Oreochromis niloticus: one gene and its partner. The protein of the gene in region 1 interacts with the protein of each later gene in a pairwise test. Links are inferred from orthologs where the notes say so. Each region holds a gene or a part of one and is shown in the gene's direction. Other genes may lie near its edges. The genes, in order: numbl and spsb3a.

Evidence for each region.
Region 2: the proteins of numbl (region 1) and spsb3a interact in binary tests that used the Homo sapiens proteins (3 or more experiments, as listed by UniProt). The two-hybrid records come from large-scale screens. The link is inferred for Oreochromis niloticus from reciprocal best matches to the Homo sapiens genes NUMBL and SPSB3.

What each region holds. Positions count from the first base shown.
Region 1 is NC_031979.2:8,643,688-8,653,081, forward strand, and holds the start of numbl (numb-like protein), read left to right. Parts: upstream 1-5,634; 5' UTR 5,635-5,676; coding exon 5,677-5,762; intron 5,763-6,387; exon of another isoform or gene 6,388-6,492; intron 6,493-6,857; coding exon 6,858-7,008; intron 7,009-9,394. UniProt on the Homo sapiens protein: Plays a role in the process of neurogenesis. Required throughout embryonic neurogenesis to maintain neural progenitor cells, also called radial glial cells (RGCs), by allowing their daughter cells to choose progenitor over neuronal cell fate.
Region 2 is NC_031969.2:14,041,356-14,051,592, forward strand, and holds spsb3a (SPRY domain-containing SOCS box protein 3a), read left to right. Parts: upstream 1-5,591; 5' UTR 5,592-5,924; intron 5,925-6,658; 5' UTR 6,659-6,745; coding exon 6,746-6,871; intron 6,872-7,153; coding exon 7,154-7,337; intron 7,338-7,420; coding exon 7,421-7,608; intron 7,609-7,706; coding exon 7,707-7,809; intron 7,810-7,899; coding exon 7,900-8,025; intron 8,026-8,598; coding exon 8,599-8,996; 3' UTR 8,997-9,939; downstream 9,940-10,237. Other genes in the region: atp6v0ca (ATPase H+ transporting V0 subunit ca), read left to right, coding at 1,278-1,461, 2,810-3,014.

The sequences.
Region 1 (9,394 bases):
ATAGAGATGGAGACAATAGCCACAGTGGGTGCCAGGCTGATGGTTTAACACATGGCTCTGCTTCAGCTGCCACTGTACATCAGCCTGTACAAATTCCTAATCTCAACAGAAGGGAGCAGTTTTGATGCATTTAAACCTCCACGCTTACAGGAAAGCTGCCTCCACAGTGTATACAGCACTCCACTGATCTGTATCTGCTCTTCCCAGAGAGGCTCTGCTTTAGATTTGCTCGCAGTAACTACTACACCTTAGGGTATAAATGTTTCATATAGCTTCAGACGAGGCAGCGCGAACTCAGTTTGTACATTTTAAGTTTTTTTTACAAGTGTTTGAGCTCTGATTCTTTCTTTTTCTGACAAGCGTTGCTGTTCTTTTTTCTCAGTTTTTGAAATGCAAAGACTTTTGGGAATGTGAAAGTTTAAGGTTAAATATTTAATTTAGTAGTGTTATGATTAAAACCTAACTGATGTTTGGCAGTTTCAAAATCCGATAATCTGATATGTATCGTCCGATTATTTTTTTCTCAGACACATAAAAAACCCAGATTTCCCTATTTATTCAATGACAGTCTGTGTAACTCTGCTCTGATCGGTTAGTTCTTGTGTGTGGTTGTTTTAGTGTTCCTAGTTGCAGGGTGGCCTGGTGTACAAACTATGCATCGTCAACACTCTTTACTTTTTAAATTTCCCCTTATTGTTATAAATGGTGACACAAATAGATCAGCAAATAGCTGATAGCGGCTGGAAATACTGGCCAGGCTTTAGTTGTTGTAGTTTGTTGTCGAGGTGGGATCCAGTGTTTGCGTTGGTTATGAGGTCGCTAATGGGTCACCATGTCCAAGATTTCTGTAGTAACTAATTGCATTCAGGTATCAAGAATAGGGAGTTTTTAAAATGTTTAAATGAACCAATATTGTTATAGGTCTGTGGTGCAAGGAATACAGGAATTTCCCCAGATAGCTAATATCTTGTTGCAGTTCACAGTAAGAATGAAATATTGGCTATAAGAGTAAGTTCAAGTACTTTACTGCTACATTCTCTGTGCTAAACTAGGTTGACACCCAGTTTAGCACAGAGAATGGTATTTTTGTACATGTGAACTTACAGGAATTCAAAGTATTACAAAGCAGTAAACTATTGGAGATTGTTTGCTCCATCTGACAGAAATCCTGCAGGGAGGGAGCTGTTTCCAGGAAGTAACAAAGGCTTAGAGACGCACAAAACACACTCTCCGTATCTGTATCTTTCTCCCTCATAAACATACATAGTCCTACTTAGATTAATAAAACACTGCACTGCATCCTGTCCTGGGACAAACTTCAGTCTAAACACAAGTGCCCTGGTTTATGTCCGCTGCCTCACGCTCCTTTATATTTTAATCACACACACACACACACACACACACACACACACACACACACACACACCACCTGTCACTTTCAGGGAGTATGAGAAAAAGAGAGACATACTTGGGGATAATAGTAATGGTAGTATGTGTCAGTGTCTCTATGTGGGTCACTCAGTGTCAGTGTCAGTGTGTGAAGTCTGCAGGGACCACAAACTGGGTCAGTTTTTACTGCGTGTGTGCGCGTCGTGTCAGCATAATGTGCCTGCATCCAATGTGTTTGTTGATTTATGCAAACATTACCTATTAGGGTAATGTTTGCATAGTTTCTTACAGCACTTCTAAAATGATGGAAAGGTTTGAATGAAATATTTCTTTTTGGTTTTTGGTGCCTTTATTAGTTCAATAGCCAGTAATATGCATAAAGTTTCCACATGTAGGCAATACATGTATTTATGAGACTGAGTGCTCAATAAATTCTGTTATTTCATTTTACATGTAATTTGTATGATTTCATTGTTTTGGTTTGGAGCAGAAAAGCTGGCTGCCAACCCAACACCACCATATTACAATTTCTTAGCAGAGAAATTCCTCTTCAAAGGTAAATATGTAGGACTTCAGCTGTGGGATTGTATCTGCACTTATTACACTTTATACTCTTTAACATTGAAGGGAATTGTGAAGTCAGGAAAATATTCTAAGCTCTTAAGCTTGAGAGTGCCCGCATAATGCACAAACGCTATGCTAATTATGCTGCAGTCACACTTTGGAAAACGAAATTATTACAAACATGTGCAATGCACTTGTGATATCAAACAGCGATAAGATGGAGTTCAAATAGAACATGGTCATTTTCTTGGTGAACCGGTCTGTCACTCCAACTACTTGTGAATCTGTCCCCAAAAATTGTACTGCAATCACCAGTGAGACGCACAAAACGGTGAGAGTTTTCCTAATTGCAAGGAGGTTGCTGTCCTATTTTTACTCCTAGTGTGACTGAGCCAATATGATGACATGCATGAGCTGAACTTTGTAAGCACACATCTGTGTTTAGGCTAAAAAATCTTAGGTAATGTTCATGTTTTGTTAGCCGTGCTGAAAAAAAGCAAGTTTAAAGAGTTATTAATCCAACCATTATGCAGATCATTTTGAACTTATGTAACACGGCTGTTAGCAATTACAATGCGATTACTGAGTTTAGGACCAGTAATGTATGTGTTGTAATTTGTTAACCCACTGTGGATCTTTTCAGAGTATAATACACTCTCGCTCCTGCATGCTGCTGTGGTAATAGAGACCTTTGATACTTTCCCACTCCACTATGACTTAAAAGTTGCTGTGAGTCATACTCGCAGCTTTAGCGAAACACCTCAGCGTCTTATTTGCACAGCCAAAGAGCCACAGCCGGACTTTAGTAGAGTGGGCAACACAGAGAGGTACAGTGTGTCCACATAAAGTGGTCAGCACTATGATGACTAAGCCAAGGCAATACTCTGTTACTGCACTCACAAAGATAAACACGCTTAAACACACACACACTGGAGACTTGCTCCACCTCTTTATGTCCATTCCTAGTTTCTTTGGAGCTCCACACACATATGGCTTTCCGTAATACGAGGTGGCAGTGAGTCATTGTGTGTGTGTGTGTGTGTGTGTGGTAACATCACCGCTCTCACCCCTACTCCCCTTCTTGTTTGAGCTGTGTTTTTCTTAAGCATCTGGTTGAGGAGATGTGTGAGGGAGGAGTATGTCCCATTTTGCCAAAATCTCTGGGCCGATGTTGAACACAGAACATCTGGATCAGGGAGGGACGTTGCGTACGTGTGTGTGTTTGTGTGTGTGTGTGCGTGTGTGTGTGTGTGTGTGTGTGTGAAAGAGAGGCATTGTGCCAAAGAAATCAATCAGAGTCACATCTGGCAGACACAAAACGCAGCTGGACGCACAAGCAGTCTTAACACAGATCATGTGTTGTTAATACAGAGGTGAGACAAATACAAGACATCTGACATTTGTAATATACATATATTCGGGAATGTGCTGTTATTACTGATAATTATAGTAAATCCCATGCACACATGCTGTTAATAACCACCAACCATCTCACAGTTAAAATACCAACTTAAGCCGGAGCAAGATGTAAAAATTCTTTTCACCACATTTTATTAGTCTGTACGCGTAAGCTAGCTCTTCACACTAAAGTCAGCCCTGTGAAACCTATTTCCTCACATTCGCATCGGCAGAGCTGCAGACGTTTAGCTTCGGGCTCGTTTTTGCGCCCGTCTCCGCATCTTTTTTGAACAAGAGATCTGCAGTGTAAGTAACAGTTAAGAAGAAGGAATAGGGAGGACCAGAGTAGGAGGTCGGCTCGGGTGAAAGAAATTTCTACGACATAACATCATATGACCGTAAGTTGTCCTGCTTGCCATCTCCCCAACAATACATTCCAGATGGCTGCAAACTCAAACACTAAACTGGGAACAAATATGTGCTTTTTTGGCACCGGGCCTCTTGTTTGTGTAGGCTACACTGAAGTGCTTACGAGTTTTGCGTGGGTTCATAAAGGGAGTGGGATTTAATTTGTGCCATTGATTTATAGATTTATTTTGATGCTTGCCAACCCACCCCCTCTGTCTGGCTCTCATCTTTTTTTCCCCCCCTCACTGCAGATGGTTCTAGTTTTGCAGGGCTAGGTCACAGCTATGCAACGACTTCACCATTTCAGTGTTTGGCAGTTTCACCGCCCTAATGTGTCTCTCTATCATTAAGTGTTTACTACCAGATAGTTTTGTTCATTTCACGCCACGGTGCACATCATGAGAAAGCCCATCAACCTGCGTTCACCTGTATTTTCATTGTAGCCTGGATGAGTTCATTTAGTGCTTTGACTTAGATGAGAAAACTGATACCAATGAATATTATCTTTCCAATAAATAATTACAACGCTAAAGTTACACTAGAGAAAACAATAGTGGGAGACCAAGGCCCAGCTAAAATTATTGCAGCTGTGTGGACTGAACTTCTCTTGAATCCAGAATAAGAAACATCCACTCATTATATGTGATGCTGCTGTATAAAATAGTGAAACCGCTGATGAAAATTTCATGTAGAAATTCAAAATGGAGAACTTCCTTCAGGGTTCAGGGCGTGGATCCAAGAGGAATTTTTTGTGTCTCAATGACACGTCTACCAAATTTTATATATGTGTTAAATTCGTATATATGGTTGCAATTTTAAAGGGACCCATAAAATAAGTACATTGACACCCGACCTAACACAAGCAAAATTTCAAGAGTTATCGATCATGTTTAGGTTCTCAAATATGCAATTCATTTTTATAATTAATAAAACTGAGGAGATACCATGCTTACCATTGGATGAGCAGTTGGGTTTTTAAAAAAATGTATTTACTAATAAATAAAAAAAAATCTGCATTATTGCTGGATGTTGCTCTGTCTGACTTTCTGCCCTCGTGCTTGTAGTGTACTGACCTGTGAATCTGTTAAGCTACTCTACTCCCACACAGTTCCCTTTTTATTAAGACTAGACGATGGATGATGAACAGGATCATTTAGTGTATTATAACACCAATTCTCTCACCTCAGTACTTCATTCCTCCCTTTTTCTCAAACTTGTCCCAGTATCCTTAGTCCACATTGTTTAATTTCTGCGTCTCTCCGATGTGGTTTGCCATTGGATGCCAGTGCCATTTGCTCACTACTCCTCCCCCGCTGTCCTAGACCATATGAGGGTGTCCTGTATTCCTTACCCAGTACTTCCTTTACTGGGTCTGTTAATTTACAGGGTCCGTTTACTCATGCCAGGCATGAGTTAAGCCACCCCAGCCCCCTTCTACCTCTGCTGTGAGGCGTTATGTAAAACTCTGCTGTAACCCTTTCGCTCACGCCCGTTCACACCTGCTGCAGCAGTGCTGGGGGCGTGCCAGGTGCCAGTCAGCTGGCACTTTTCCCAGATATGAGCGGCACAAACCTCGACATGTGTGAAAAGCTGCAGAGGGGCTTGTGGGTATGTTTTGTCTGTGTGTGTGTATGAGCATCTACTCTTGGCAGATGACACATGCCTCACATGCTAGACATGAGTAAAGCCACTTGAGCTGTTGCATTTGAATACTCTGCATTACACAGGGAGTGTGTGTGGTGCACAAGAATTGCACACACGCTTCCGGTACACCAGTCTTTGGCAGCATTACCATCAGGGTAGCAGCAATTATGAGAAGTGACGTGTCCGACTATATATTCAGTATAAATTTGGCCCCGTGGTGGCAGAGCCGAGAGAAGCGTTCTGCCCTTCAGTGTTGAGATCACCACTTTACATATGGACATCGTATGTCTTCAGTGTAAGATTAATGTGCTCTCTTACCCTGTAAAAGCTGGAATGCCGATTTATGGATCATCCAGATGGTAAGCGAATAAAACAAGATCGCTCTTTACTCTTATTAACTCAAGATATATGGAAGAATACGACACGAGATAAGCATTTCTAATATATTGTGATCTTATAATAATAATTTTATGCAAGCCTTTTTTTTCTAGCACTCTTCCTGGTTTGATATTGCGGATTTACAAACTGGGCCTTGCTCGTGTATCACTAATCAGATCCCTTATACTGTGTAGAGAAGAGAGACCAGTTGTGTTCAGAGATTGAGGACAAGAAAAGCAGAATAGACTCACTGCTTAGTCCAATTTGAAACTTTTGACTTGGACAACAAGGAAGCTGATGATGCAGTTAATTTAGAGTCAATAAAGAGAAAGGACGCAAATGAGGAAAGAGGTGTTTTTATTGTACTTCAGATCTCCTGTTGAAGCTGGGATGTGAGTGTGGAGGAATGAAAACAGTAATTATTTTTTTAAAGCAGGTCATGTTTTGATGGCATCATGTTTCATTATGCTGGGAAATTAGCACGCGCTAAACAGGCCAGCGGGCTGAATGGTCTAATTAGGGAGCGGAGGGAGGATTGTTCACAGGAGGAGTGGAGTGCACACATGTGTGTGCTGATTAGCATGCGCTCAGCATTCTTGATGTTTCTTCGAGAGATGAAAGCGTGCCCGATGCTTTTGTGTTCATTAATGTTCTACCTGTGTGATTTGTACAGCCTGCGTCTGAATGGAGAATCAATGGAGCATTATGATGGAAAGTGTTTGTGGCACTGATGTACTGACTGCCTTGTTAGAAATGATTATAGCTTAATGAGCTCCAGCCAATCAATGAAATCCTTCCCACTTCTCTCATAATACCATATGAAATACAGGACTGTGGTTTGTCTCAAGTGGCATTTCATTCAATTATAGTTTGGCACTGTTGCATTTAAACATTTTTTAATGTGCCTGACTATTTAATTGCTATTACATGAATGTGTTTTTAAAAATTCTTTTATTGTTCTGTGCTTGCGGTAATGAGACTCAGGTGGTTGTCATTTTTCCTTTGTTGAGTACAGAGATACTCTATGGCCTTCCAGTGCTCTGCAACTAAACTTACATCCCTTTCTGTGTCTGCAGTACCAGGGAGCACGTGACCCCGGAGATGAACAAGCTTCGTCAGAGCCTGAGGAGGAAGAAGCCCACCTATGTGCCAGAGGCCAGCAGACCGCATCAATGGCAGGCTGACGAGGAGGCTGTACGCAAGGGCAAATGTAACTTTGCTGTTCGGGTAAGTATCTACAGTCGTTATTCGGTTAATCTAAGCCTGATTCATTTCTTTTTTTATTTCTTTCTTCATTTATTTTAATGTTAAGTATGAAAAAGCAAATGAGTTAAGACTATGAGATAATATTTAGGCAAGATCTTATGTGCTAACAGTGATGCTGGCTAGAGGAGCTGCTCAGAGCGAGCCTCAACTAAAATAGCTTTATCAAAAGCATATTTTTACACAAACTGAATGCTGAACCAGACAAGATGGCACCTAATATGCCAGTCATATCATCCATGTCCTAAATATTTTCAGCACATTTGAAACTTATATTCACTCTCACAAAGATATCGCAGGGTGGGAAATTATCTAAAAAAGTAAAGTTGCAAACATGTTTATCTCTGTTATAATGTTGGGCTTTTTGGAGTCTTTAGGGATTAACTAACTTTTGGAGCCAGCCTCAAGTGGCTATTTAATGAATTGCATTCTGCCTTTGCTTCGTTTTTAAACCCCAGAGACTGGCCCTTATTAATAAGTGAAGTCAGTGCTGTATAAATACATTCAGCAATAAAGGGTGCACAAGATTCTCACGTAATTATCACTTTATCTTAGCAGTACGGTCTGTTAGTTTTTATGCAAAGCTAAGCTAGTTGTTTGCTGCCACCAGCTTTCTTGAAGTCTGAATATTATCTGAATAAAATGTGTGTGTGTGTGTGTGTGTGTATATATATATATATATATATATATATATGTATATGTATATGTATATACACACACATATATATGTATATATATATAAAAACTGACAAAAGTGCTGTCAGTGTTAATCTCGTTAAAATGATATTAACGCCATAATCACATTAACGCGACAAATCTCTGTTAGAGAGTTGACGCGGATCACCCCGTGCGTGGGGCTGGATGGCGCTAATGCATTGACGCCGTGTAGCCTCACGCACGAGATTAATGAGATTAACACTGACAGCACTAATAAAAACAGCATAAATCTTATTATTTCTATTTGTTCATAATATTACAGTACCTAAAGAAAGCAAATATACTTTTTAATGTAATGCCTATGGTTAGGCTTTGTGATACATTTCAGGATAGTTTGGCTCTGACCTTTGATCTTTATAAGAACCGTCAATAGTAAAGCACTGATCCATATTCTACCTCAGTAGCTGAATGCCTCCCATGCCATAAATGCAAAAAAAGGGCCGCCATTAACGGACCAATTTACTGATAACAAGCTCCGTTCTGAGCATGTACTGTATGGCCATCCTTGAGAGCTAAAGTGATTTGTAGAAGAGCTGGAGAGAGAATGAAGGAGGGAGATGGAAGCCAGAGAAAGAGGAGTGACGATGAGGTAAGGTTATAGATTACAGAGAGCACAGGAAATGACAAGGTGAGGGATGAGGGCGCACAGAGGGTAAGGAGAGACATTTTCAGATTTGAAATGAGAGATAGATAGAACCAGATAAGATAAGTGAAAGGAAAGAAAGACCGCAGACTGAATGGACCAGGAGAGAAATACAAAGCAAAAAGATAAAGGCAACAAAGAAAGCTGAGAGTATAAGAAAAGGCATCGTGTGGGGCTGAGGCTAATGGAAAACGGTCCTGATGGTAATGGTCCAGAGAGCTAGCGATGAGATGGGCACTGAAGTGGAGCTCAGAGCTTTAGCAAGAGATGTAAGCACAAAAACCTCTGTCTCTTTATATGTTGTTTTTACCTCCATGCTCGCTCAACCATCTTTTCTTTTTCAGTGCTTTCTCAGTGTTTTTAGTTTCTAAATGAGTCACGAACTATTAATGCCTTTTCAAAAGCATTTGAACTGTTGCTACCAAAAGAAAACGTGTCAGCTCAGCTCACTGCTCAAAGAAAAGTTGTTTTTTTTACAAACTAAAGAATGTGGGATAAAATGGCCCATTGGAAGATTTGCCTGGTGCCTCTCATACTTTGGTTATAGAGCATATGAAGCTCTAGATGGCCTTACTTATGTTTTGACTTCAATTTGTGTGTAATGGTCATCATTTTTATGTTTTTTAACAACACGTCTTATTTTGGTAATATATCCAGTTAGCAAGCTAGCAAGGTAAAATAACAGCTGCCAACTGTGATAGTGTAAGGCAGACCAAACTATGTTAGCTCAGCCATTGTGACATTAACAATGTTAGCCTGTTTGAAATTTTAAAAAGAGGGCAGACACCCCTCTTTTATAGGTAGCAGTGGCACTAATGTAATTTCTGTTGTTTACTATCACAAAATAGTCAGAGTATTTGTTCAGGCAAGTCACAAAATGTAGCTCAGCTCATAGTAAATGGTACATGGACTGGTTCCATATCACACTTTTCTACTCTACTGGAATACTCAAAGTGCTTTATACAACATGTCTCATTCACCCACTTTATT
Region 2 (10,237 bases), on another chromosome or scaffold:
CCTGTGTAGCTGAACACCCTCGTCATAGCCAACACTTCTCACTGCGAAAGGCGTGTGAATATTTTAGCTTTTGGACCCTTATGGTTTGAAAAGTTGCACAAAATGCAGACTAATAACAACTATTCCAGACTCCCAGACTACAGAGAAGTCCATTGCCTGTAAATGTGACTGCACAGCCAAGCAAGTGGGAAGTGAGGAAAGCTGTGTGTTATTGTACCATTATTATTTATTCATCCACCCCAGTGAGTGAGCCTTCTTTGCAAACATGCCGTGTTCACAGCTGCTCTCTGCTCGCAGCCAGCAAAGTCACATGTAATGATGAGGAATCGCCTGGCACCGATCTGCGCTCTCCAGGTGTTGAAGAATAGCGCCTGAATGCTCTGCATCAAAGACATTTACAATGTGAACGCCACCGCTCGGTGGCAGAACCTCTGCCTTCTTCTGATCAGAGGGGCTGACCTGCAAGTGATCCACTCTGTATTTAATAATAATGTTCATGCAGCTGTTTAAGTGCATGTGATGGGATTGTAAAAATCATACTGAGCACAGTATAAATATACACATGAATCCCCTTTAGTTTAAAGATACAACCTACTGAAATACAGTACAGCTCTGTCACTAGTTACAGCCCATTCATCACTTCTCAATCATCACAAGTAAGCATAATTTTTAGATGATGCTGCTCACTTTTCTGATCTTCATTTGCACAGTACACATTTACTGTGAACACAGAGGGTTTTCTAATGCAAAACAAATGAAATCGCATGCAAATAGGAGACAGTGATAAAGAAGCAGAGGCAGTTTGTGATCAACAGCAGGAGGAAATGCAGATAAAATAACAGGTTGAGATTCCTGCAAATGCCTGGGTTTATTGCAGAGTTGTTGTGGACGTATAAACTGTAATATTTTGGTATGTGCAGCATTCATGGCAGTGTGACGAGCCAAGCGGGCATCAGTGAAATGTGAGGTGACAGCAGAGCGGAGGGAAAAATTGCTGGACGAGCGCCCATCGGTGGCATTATTAGTCATGAAAAGAGTCATATAAAGTACTCAAGTGGGCGGTGTTGCGTTGCGTAGCGAGACTTCACAGTCTAACAACTTATAACATTTTTCATGCAATTTTTCCGAGATGGTTTGTGAGGAAAGCTAAAATGTAGGTGAAATGCAAGAAAGAACTGGCAGTCGAATTTCTCATCCTGTCTTTCAGCATCTTGCCTCAGAAGATAAAACTCTGAGCTTTGCTTCATTAACGCAGATTTATCATTTCTCTTTCTCAGCGTTAGGAGCAGCATATGGGACGGCAAAGAGCGGCACAGGCATCGCTGCCATGTCTGTGATGCGGCCAGAGCTCATCATGAAGTCCATCATCCCTGTGGTCATGGCAGGTATCATCGCCATCTACGGGCTGGTGGTGGCTGTGCTGATAGCAAACAACATATCTGAGAGAGTCTCTCTTTACAAGTAAGATAAACTTCTCATACAAAGGACCTTTGTTTGTTTGTCATATAGTGATGTTACAGTAAAATTGCAATCTCAATTTCATTGTCTGTGTCTGACGTGTTATTCAAGATTATGTTGAGTCGGGTTTCTATAGTTACTGTTTACATACACAACTTAATTTTAAGCAACGCAAAAACAAAGATTTAAGCTCACAAACAGGCTAAAAATGATCAGATTATAGCAACATTTTAAAAAGAGCAATCATCTCTGGCCTTTGAGCTCTATTATAATCTCTGCCATCTCCTTAAAGAAATAAACCTGTTGGACCTGAGCTTACTGTTTAACCTCCTTCATGGTCCACTTGTTTCATCTGGCTCTTCGTTGTTTTGCTGGGCGGGTCTCAGTCAGTTAACATGAATTGTTTCCCGGTGGCAGTTTTGTGATATAGCTGAGACCCAACAGCACAGTGTTTGTGGGCAGGAAAACCAAACTAGCGTTGTGCTGTCAAGGTGTACTATTTCACTGTAAACACAGCGCCATGCTCGTAAACAGGTGTTCACTTTGCTGTATGAAAGCACTTTAAATGGTCTTCTGACATTATTTATGTAGCAGCCCTGATGAGCACGTTTCTCTGGGGAGACCAGCCAGGGTTGAATTTTATTTGTTCCGGTTGTTTTTAAAAACTGTGGGCATGCATATTAACCACTAGGCGAGTCCTTAACATGCCACTTTCTGTAAAGACTTGAGCAATTTGATCTAGTCCAGTTATTATTAATAATGCATAAAGAGATTGCAGATTTGAAACTGGGCTTGTTCTTTTCAGAATTCAGCACTTTTATTCAGACCTTTTGGATAGAATTGCTGAAAAGCAGTAAATACAACAACACAAACATGTAGAGTGAAACTGCTGATCTCTGCACACTGCTTCCTATTTTTTCATGCAAGTTTAGAAGGAGGAACAAGAGAGAGGAGCGAACATAGCACGCCACAGTTTTGTAAACAAAATTTTGTGCTCACACACACTTAACACAACACATGCTCACACTAGATGAGGACGTTTCAGTGCACAATTTGATGCTACATATAAAACTCACAGAGTATTTCCAACCTATGGACGAAAAAGATATTTCAGTTCAATTCTATAGCACCAAATCACAAAACGGTCGCCTCAAGGCCCTTTATATTCTAAGGTGAAGACCCTACAATAATACAGAGAAAACCCCAACAATCAAACAACTGCCATGAGCAAGCACTGGGCAACAGAGGGAAGGGGAAAAATTCTCTTTTAACAGGAAGAAACCTGTGGCAGAACCAGGCTGTGAATGCTCCCAACTTCACAAAAGTATTTTCTACTGCTTCTCTTCAACAGGAGTTTCCTGCATCTCGGTGCCGGTCTGAGCGTGGGCCTGAGCGGCCTGGCGGCCGGGTTCGCCATCGGCATCGTGGGTGACGCCGGCGTGAGAGGGACCGCTCAGCAGCCTCGGCTGTTCGTGGGCATGATCCTGATCCTGATCTTCGCCGAGGTGCTGGGTCTTTACGGCCTCATCGTGGCCCTCATCCTATCTACAAAATAAGTGTCTCCATCATGCCACCATCTCATTCATTCCACATCAGAGCAGCAAGAACAAATAGGAGATTTTCACCTACTTCCATTACACCCGGTGGGTCTGACAGGACGGGATGGCGACAGAAACACATTCGACTTTGACAGCTCTGTCCTCAGATAGGTGTCTATCCATATTGTTGAAAGCCATCCAGTTGTGTCAGGTCTTGTGCGTACAGAACGGGCATGAACATGTACTGTGTGTTGTGGGATGATGTGTGGACAGTCTGCCTGATTTATTGTCTGATCTTAAACTGTACAGTGATCCAGAGCCCCCCTGCCCCCCAGTAAATGTAGTAACCAGTCTGTGCTGTGAGTGTGAGTATCAACGTTTACCCCCCTCTGCCCATTCCCCTCCTTTGGTTTATTTATGTATTTATTTATTTATTTATTTGTTTGTTTGTTTTTTGTTGGTGGTTTATATTGTCAACCTCTGTTTAAGACTGCTGAAGATATCGTGAACACTAGTATTTTATTTTTTTCATGTTCTTTTCTGGGACCATTTTTGAAACTTTTTTTTTCACTATTTATGGACAGCTATAAAGATTTTGAAGCTATCTAAATGGAGTACTGTTTATTGAATACCCTATATACATAAAAAATATATAAATTATCTGTGTATAGTTAGATTAATTGCACTGTGGGTAATTGTTATAAGTGCTTGGAATTCCTCTGGATGTAGTGTGAATATTAATGGAGGATGTCCACATGTTCATATGGAGTTGACAGTGTGTGTGCGTGAATGATCTGAGTGCATAATGTATGCAAGTGGATTTATGTTTAATATGACCTCCTCAGACACTTGTATCGTTTACCTGTAGTGCTGCTGTCTTGATTTGTTTGTTTTATTTTGTTGAAGGTGAGAGCTCACTGTTCAGCCATGCCTGTCAGATTTCCAAATAAAACTCAACCTCCTCCAGAATCTCACTGTCCAGTATTTATTTTTAAAGTATATCTGTTAATGAAATAACCAAACACTGCAAAAGGAAAGCAGACAGCAGATATCTGGCCAATATGTTGGGTATTTTAAACCCATAAGTTCATGGATTGAAAGTCTTCCAAACAGGTTAAATGAACAGTCCTGACCCCAAAAAAGTTTCATCTACAAGTTCTCATAAAATCTGAATACTGCAGAAACTTTATTTATTTACTTTTAGTCTTGACAGAGAATGGCCGGCAGCTGTCTGGTTAAAAACATTACCTGGTTTCGTGAGTCTTGACATTCAGATGGTGATATCAGAATTTGGCATAAATAACATGAAAGCAGATCCATCCGGCATTGTATCAACAATTCAGGCTGCTGGTGGTGGTGTAATGGTGTGGGCGATATTTTATTGGCACACTTTAGGTCTTTCAGTACCAACTGAACATCATGTAAAACGCCTACCTGAGCACTGTTGCTGGCCAGATTCATCCCTGCATGACCACCGTGTACCCATCTTCTGACTCCAGCAGGATGTTATGTCACAAAGCTCAAATCATCAGAAACTGTTTTGTTTTTTTCAAACAAGATACTGAATTAATTATACTCAAATGAACTCCACAGTCACCTCAATCATATAGAGCACTTTTGGGATGTGGTGGAATAGAAGATTCACATCATGGATGTGCAGCCAACAAATCTGCAAACAACTCTGTGACATTGTCAAGTCAATATGGGATATATGGAGGACTGTTGACAAAGTCTATGCCATGAAGAATTGAGTCTGTTCTGCAGGTGAAAGGGGGTTTCTAATAAAGTGTCCATTGAGGCTGTGTTTCTGCAAAAACTAGGGTGTGAGGCTGACTTAACCACTCAGTTTCCGATAATTTTATACCCTTGGCTCTGTGTGATGTCAGGAACAGTATTCTTGAATATAGCCCCACTCACCTACTCTGCAAACCTTGTGTTTATGAGGGGCAGCCAATAAGAAGAAAGCAAGCTTAAAGGAAGCTGGAACGGTGGATTAGCTTAGCAGCTGAACTGAAACCCAACATTAAATAAATAAGGATTATTTTCAACTTCTATCATGCAACACTAATTTAGTGAAGTCCAAGAATAAATAGTGATCCTAATATTGACTGTATCAATACCAACACTGGAATTGGTATTGGATCGATACTAGCGGATTAGATCAATAGTTTGTTTCTATCCTCTAAGTTCAGTATGTAGCACACACCTCAAACATGCACCATGAAAAATGTCAGGGCCTTTTTGTATTGAGTGTCATGTCTATTTCATTTATAACCTATAAACTCCATTAACAGAAGCTGACCCAGAGTCCTTTAAGCAGGCACATTTAAACTCTGGCTCTCCAAAAAAACCCAGTTTCAAAATATATGAAAACCTGAAAGGTGTGTTTTTGTTGTGTCAAATAAGTAAGTAAGTTGTGGAAAGTAAAAAATAACAGTGATTTATTGTTCAAAATTAGCAAATTAATGATAATTCATCTCATAAATCATGACATAATGTTCTCACCATCAGCTGGCTTTATAGCTTAAAAGTATCGGTATCGTTATTGGTATCGGCAATAGTGGCCTGCTATTTACTTCGTATCGGATCGATAGCAAAATTTTCGGTATTTTACCATGTTAATGCCTTAAAGGTTCTCCACCGCAGGGGATACTTGTTTTTACGGCTGAGTATAACAGGTTCAGTCACTGCTGGCTGCTGAGATGATGACAGGAGTCTGTGATGAGTGCAGAAAACTTCCTGCGCCGCAGCTCCTCCTCAGTCTGCCTGTTATTGTTTACGGTCGCACTCATGAAAAGTAGGTCATGGAAAACAGAAGCCCGGCGAGCTGTCTTGCCTGAAGTATCTTGTAATACAGGACACTCAAGGGACGACGTCTTTGCGGGTTTAGCGGTTTTTATGTAGAAACTGAATGTGACCAACAAACAGGTAATAAGAACGTCTCGCTTTTATTTTTCAGCAATGCTAGCAGCGGGTAGCTAACGAAAGCTAAATAGCTAGCCTAAAATAGGTTTCTTGATGCATGTCATCAGATAAATTGCGACCTTACGTGCCTTAGATGTATTTACCGTGTTGCAATGTAAATACGTATCAATAATCACCAGTAAAATGCTTCTGACCTTGTTATTACCAGCTAACATGTTGATACATACGCGGCTCTGCTGGCTAGCCAGGTAGCTAGCTTTAGCCGTTTGTGTTAGTTTTAAAAAATGCTATTTGTGAAAAGTAGTTTCCTACCTAATCAAGGGGGTAATAATTTTTACTTGTGATATAATTGATTTGTGGACAAAGTTAGCTTTATGCTATGTTGATATGGTGATATGTGTAAGCGTGAGCCGATACAGAGGGGAGGTTTCAGTGGGATACGGCTAATGCTGCCCTGAAAATGCTTTCTAAAATGTCTTAAATAACATACATTAAACATGAGATTAGAGATGGGGTTGCAGGATTTATTTAAAATAAAGCACTATAAATGCGTGGTGTAGGAAATGTTGCCATACAGACAAGCCAGGATTTATGAATAATACACATTATACGTCACACGGGGTCTGCAGACAGATGCACGACTTTGTCGTTCAGTACTAAAAGCAGCTCAGTTTATGTGAGTTTTTGTTGTTGTTGGTTTTTTCCCGTGATAATCACATTGCATTGTTGTCATTCAGCTGCTGTACTGATGCCGTTCTTCCAACATCTGGACTAAACCTCAGCAGACTGGCAGGTTCTTCCTACAGTGAGACTCTGTTGCTGCCATGTCCAGGAGAAGCAGGAACAGTCGTGCATGGAGATATGTGTGGGGAGGCATACGGAGGGATGCTGATGCCCGGGCCCTTGTGTTGGCTTCTGAGAGTGAAGAATGGAACTATGATCGCCTTGAGGTAAATAAGGAAGATGTGGATCCCCACCAGACAGAAAGCATCTAACTTGGATTTGGGCGTTATGAGCTGTGTGCATTTGTTAATATCATTGTGTGATGCTTAAAGCTTGAGGGTCAGTTGTTTCAATGCGGAAAGGATAGTGAAGGAAAGCATTGTTTGCCTCCTGCAATGCAGCATCTCCATTTAGCATTTTTCGAGGGCTGACAGCAAAGTCTGTGCATAAATAACACTGCAGACAGTTTATTTTGCTCTTTTTATTTCTTTGTTGTTGTTGCTCCGAAGTACGCAAGTGATTCAGACTCTGAGGGAGACTTTTCAGCAGTGATGGTCCCACCAGTCCCCAGCGCAGTACCCGTCACCGGAGAGTCCTACTGCGGTTGTGATTCCCAGGCAGAGACCAGCTACAACCCTCGTCTGCGAGGCTTTCTCCAGGTTAAAGACTGCCACTGTGGAGAGGATGACCAAGGTACATGACAGCCGGGGCAGGGCACAGTACATCATCTTTTGTTATGCTCATTAATATTTGATAAATGACTCGTTATGTTTTAGATTTTGATTGGGTTTGGGATGCCAACAGCCGATCGACAGCAACATTACTGAGCTGCGAAAATCGCAAAGTGAACTTCCACTCTGAATACAGCTGTGGTACAGCTGCAATCCGTGGCTCCAAGGAGCTCGCAGACGGGCAGCACTTCTGGGAAATTAAGATGACGTCCCCAGTGTACGGAACAGATATGGTAAAGCTCGACTTCTTATTTTCCTTAGTCACCAAAAATTGTCCTAGAAGCAGAACAAATGTGTATTTGTGCCTAAATGTTTATTTATTTCTGCACAGATGGTTGGTATCGGTACATCTGATGTCAATCTGGACAAATACAGACATACCTTCTGCAGCCTGCTGGGAAAAGATGCAGACAGCTGGGGGCTTTCTTACACTGGTAACTTAAACACAAGTGCCCCTGATGTATTGATAGTTGCTCAAAAGGGGTTTTATATGTTAAACATCATTGGTTTTGTTCATTTTCCAGGCTTGTTGCATCATAAAGGAGACAAAATGAACTTCTCCTCACGTTTTGGTCAAGGTTCCATCATTGGAGTTCATCTGGACACGTGGCACGGCACACTTACTTTCTTCAAAAATCGAAAGTGCATAGGTTTGTGGACAGTTTTTCTACTGATTAGATTACATAAATACTAATTTATTTCTGATGTGTCCCTGGTCACACAGGCCTACAAAATGAGCAGCAACCAGCTTGGAACCACAAACATCCTTCCGCTTGCTTTATTTGATAGCAGTTTGATTCCTTTGTCTGTAGTTTGCACAGAAGATGCAGATTTATCTGCAAAAACTCACCAACTACTCTCCAAGAGGTAGTGAAAGTGTAAAAAGTTGGAAATGCTAGAAACCAAAGCAATTACAAGGAGGTTTTTTGTGACCAATCTTTGCAGCCAGTTTCACCTAGCAACTGGTGGCAACCTCCAGCAACCACTATAAGTTCACAAGCCTTTTTCCATTTTAACTGCAGGTTCCCAGTGTGTTTTGGACCAGTTTGTAAGCCTGTGTGACTCAGCCCTAATAGGTCAACTATATGCAAAGGCGAAGGAGTTTTTGTAATCATAAGAAACAGATGCTGTTTAGTGGAGACCTTCTGCTATCTTACAAAAATGTGAACCGCAGTGTGCTCCTGAAACTCAATAATACAGATTTCTCACCCGTCTTGATCCAGGAGTTGCTGCTACAGAGCTGCAGAATAAGAGGTTTTATCCAATGGCGTGCTCCACAGCGGCGAAGAGCAGCATGAAGGTCATCAGATCCTGCTCTGCACCCACCTCCCTGCTGTACCTGTGCTGTGCTCGTCTTCGCCAGCTGGTGCCAGACTGTATAGACATCCTAGATGTGTTGCCCCTACCACCTGGCCTGCGTCATTTGCTCCACAACAAACTGGGTTGGGTGCTCAGTCTTACCGGTAACTGCGGCACAATGGAAGAAACCCCAGATGGCGCTGAGCAGTCCTCAAGTTTGCCGGTCCCCGCTTTGGCAGGACCGTCCTCCTCCGAGAGCGACTCAGAGGGTTGTTCGTCCGATCCAGAGGCCTGTCAGAGGAAGAGATGCCGCTGGACATGACTGGGCGACTCGATCCTACCTCCCCTTAAACACTGGCAGACATTAGTGTCCTTTGGCATCTGATGTAGTGTTACTGAACTGCCTCAAGCTTTCTTTATTAGTGGCGTCTGGAGAAAGTAACGAGGGCGGTCGAGCGGAGGGAGCGAAACGTCGGTGGAAAACTGTGATCTTCTGTCATGCCATTCTTCATGCTCATCACATGTCGAGTATCAAAGCCAGCTTCAGTAAAAGGTGAAAATATACCATGTTATTTTGTTATGGGTGGATGTGGTGGTCATCAAAATGGGGAGGGTTAAAAAAACAGATACTGTATAGAAATTTTCTGTATTTTCATCGCGTATCTTGCATTTAATGTATGTTTTTCTCACTTTAAATGTTATCAGTGAGTTATCAGAGGACTTTGTTACATGTATCAGTGGCATCTGCAAGTTTCTCCTCTGTTGCTCAGAATCAGCTGATATTCTATATTATGTAACTACTGTTCGCTCCTTAAATGCTAAAAGTTAACGGTAAATGAACCTGAGTGCACTTTGCAGCTTTTAGCCTTAAAAAAGAGAGCGATAACCTTTGAGCAAGGCATGCACCTCTCACGACACATCAGATAAGCGTTATTTCTTGAAAAATATCTGTTATATGTTACATTCATGGAGACATCATCCATCTAGCTTCCAGCCTTTTTTTTTTCCGTCTAAAAAGCTGTGTGCATTATTTAGTGTAGCCTTTTAATGCTGATATTTTAACATTTTCATTGCTGTTACTTTTTTATGTTTTAAAAGTTTCTTTAACAGACAGTAGATTCATCATCAAGCTATTATTTTGGTATGTCTCTGTTTGTTCTAGTGCTGGGCGATATGGAAAAAATATTTATCACGATATGAATTATTTTATATCACCATAACGATATATATCACGATATACCACCTGACCTGTGGTCATCTGGAAAGTATGCAGTCTGTAAACAGCGAGTGGAGAGGGTGCAGTCTTTGTTTTGAGTTACCGTAAAGCATGTCGCAAATCCGGGTGCACGTAAAGCAGCACCATGTCGCAAAACCACAAGACGGAGTTTCTTTGCGAAAAATATCATTTTTTTATACTTTTAACTTTATGCAAGAGAAAATAGAGCCAGAGCTTATCTTTACATTTTACATGCTGTAGTGCCATTTGTGGGAGCATTTCAAGTTGCTATACATCAATACAACCGTTATAGCCCAAATTTTAATAATATGTATGCATTAAGTGCA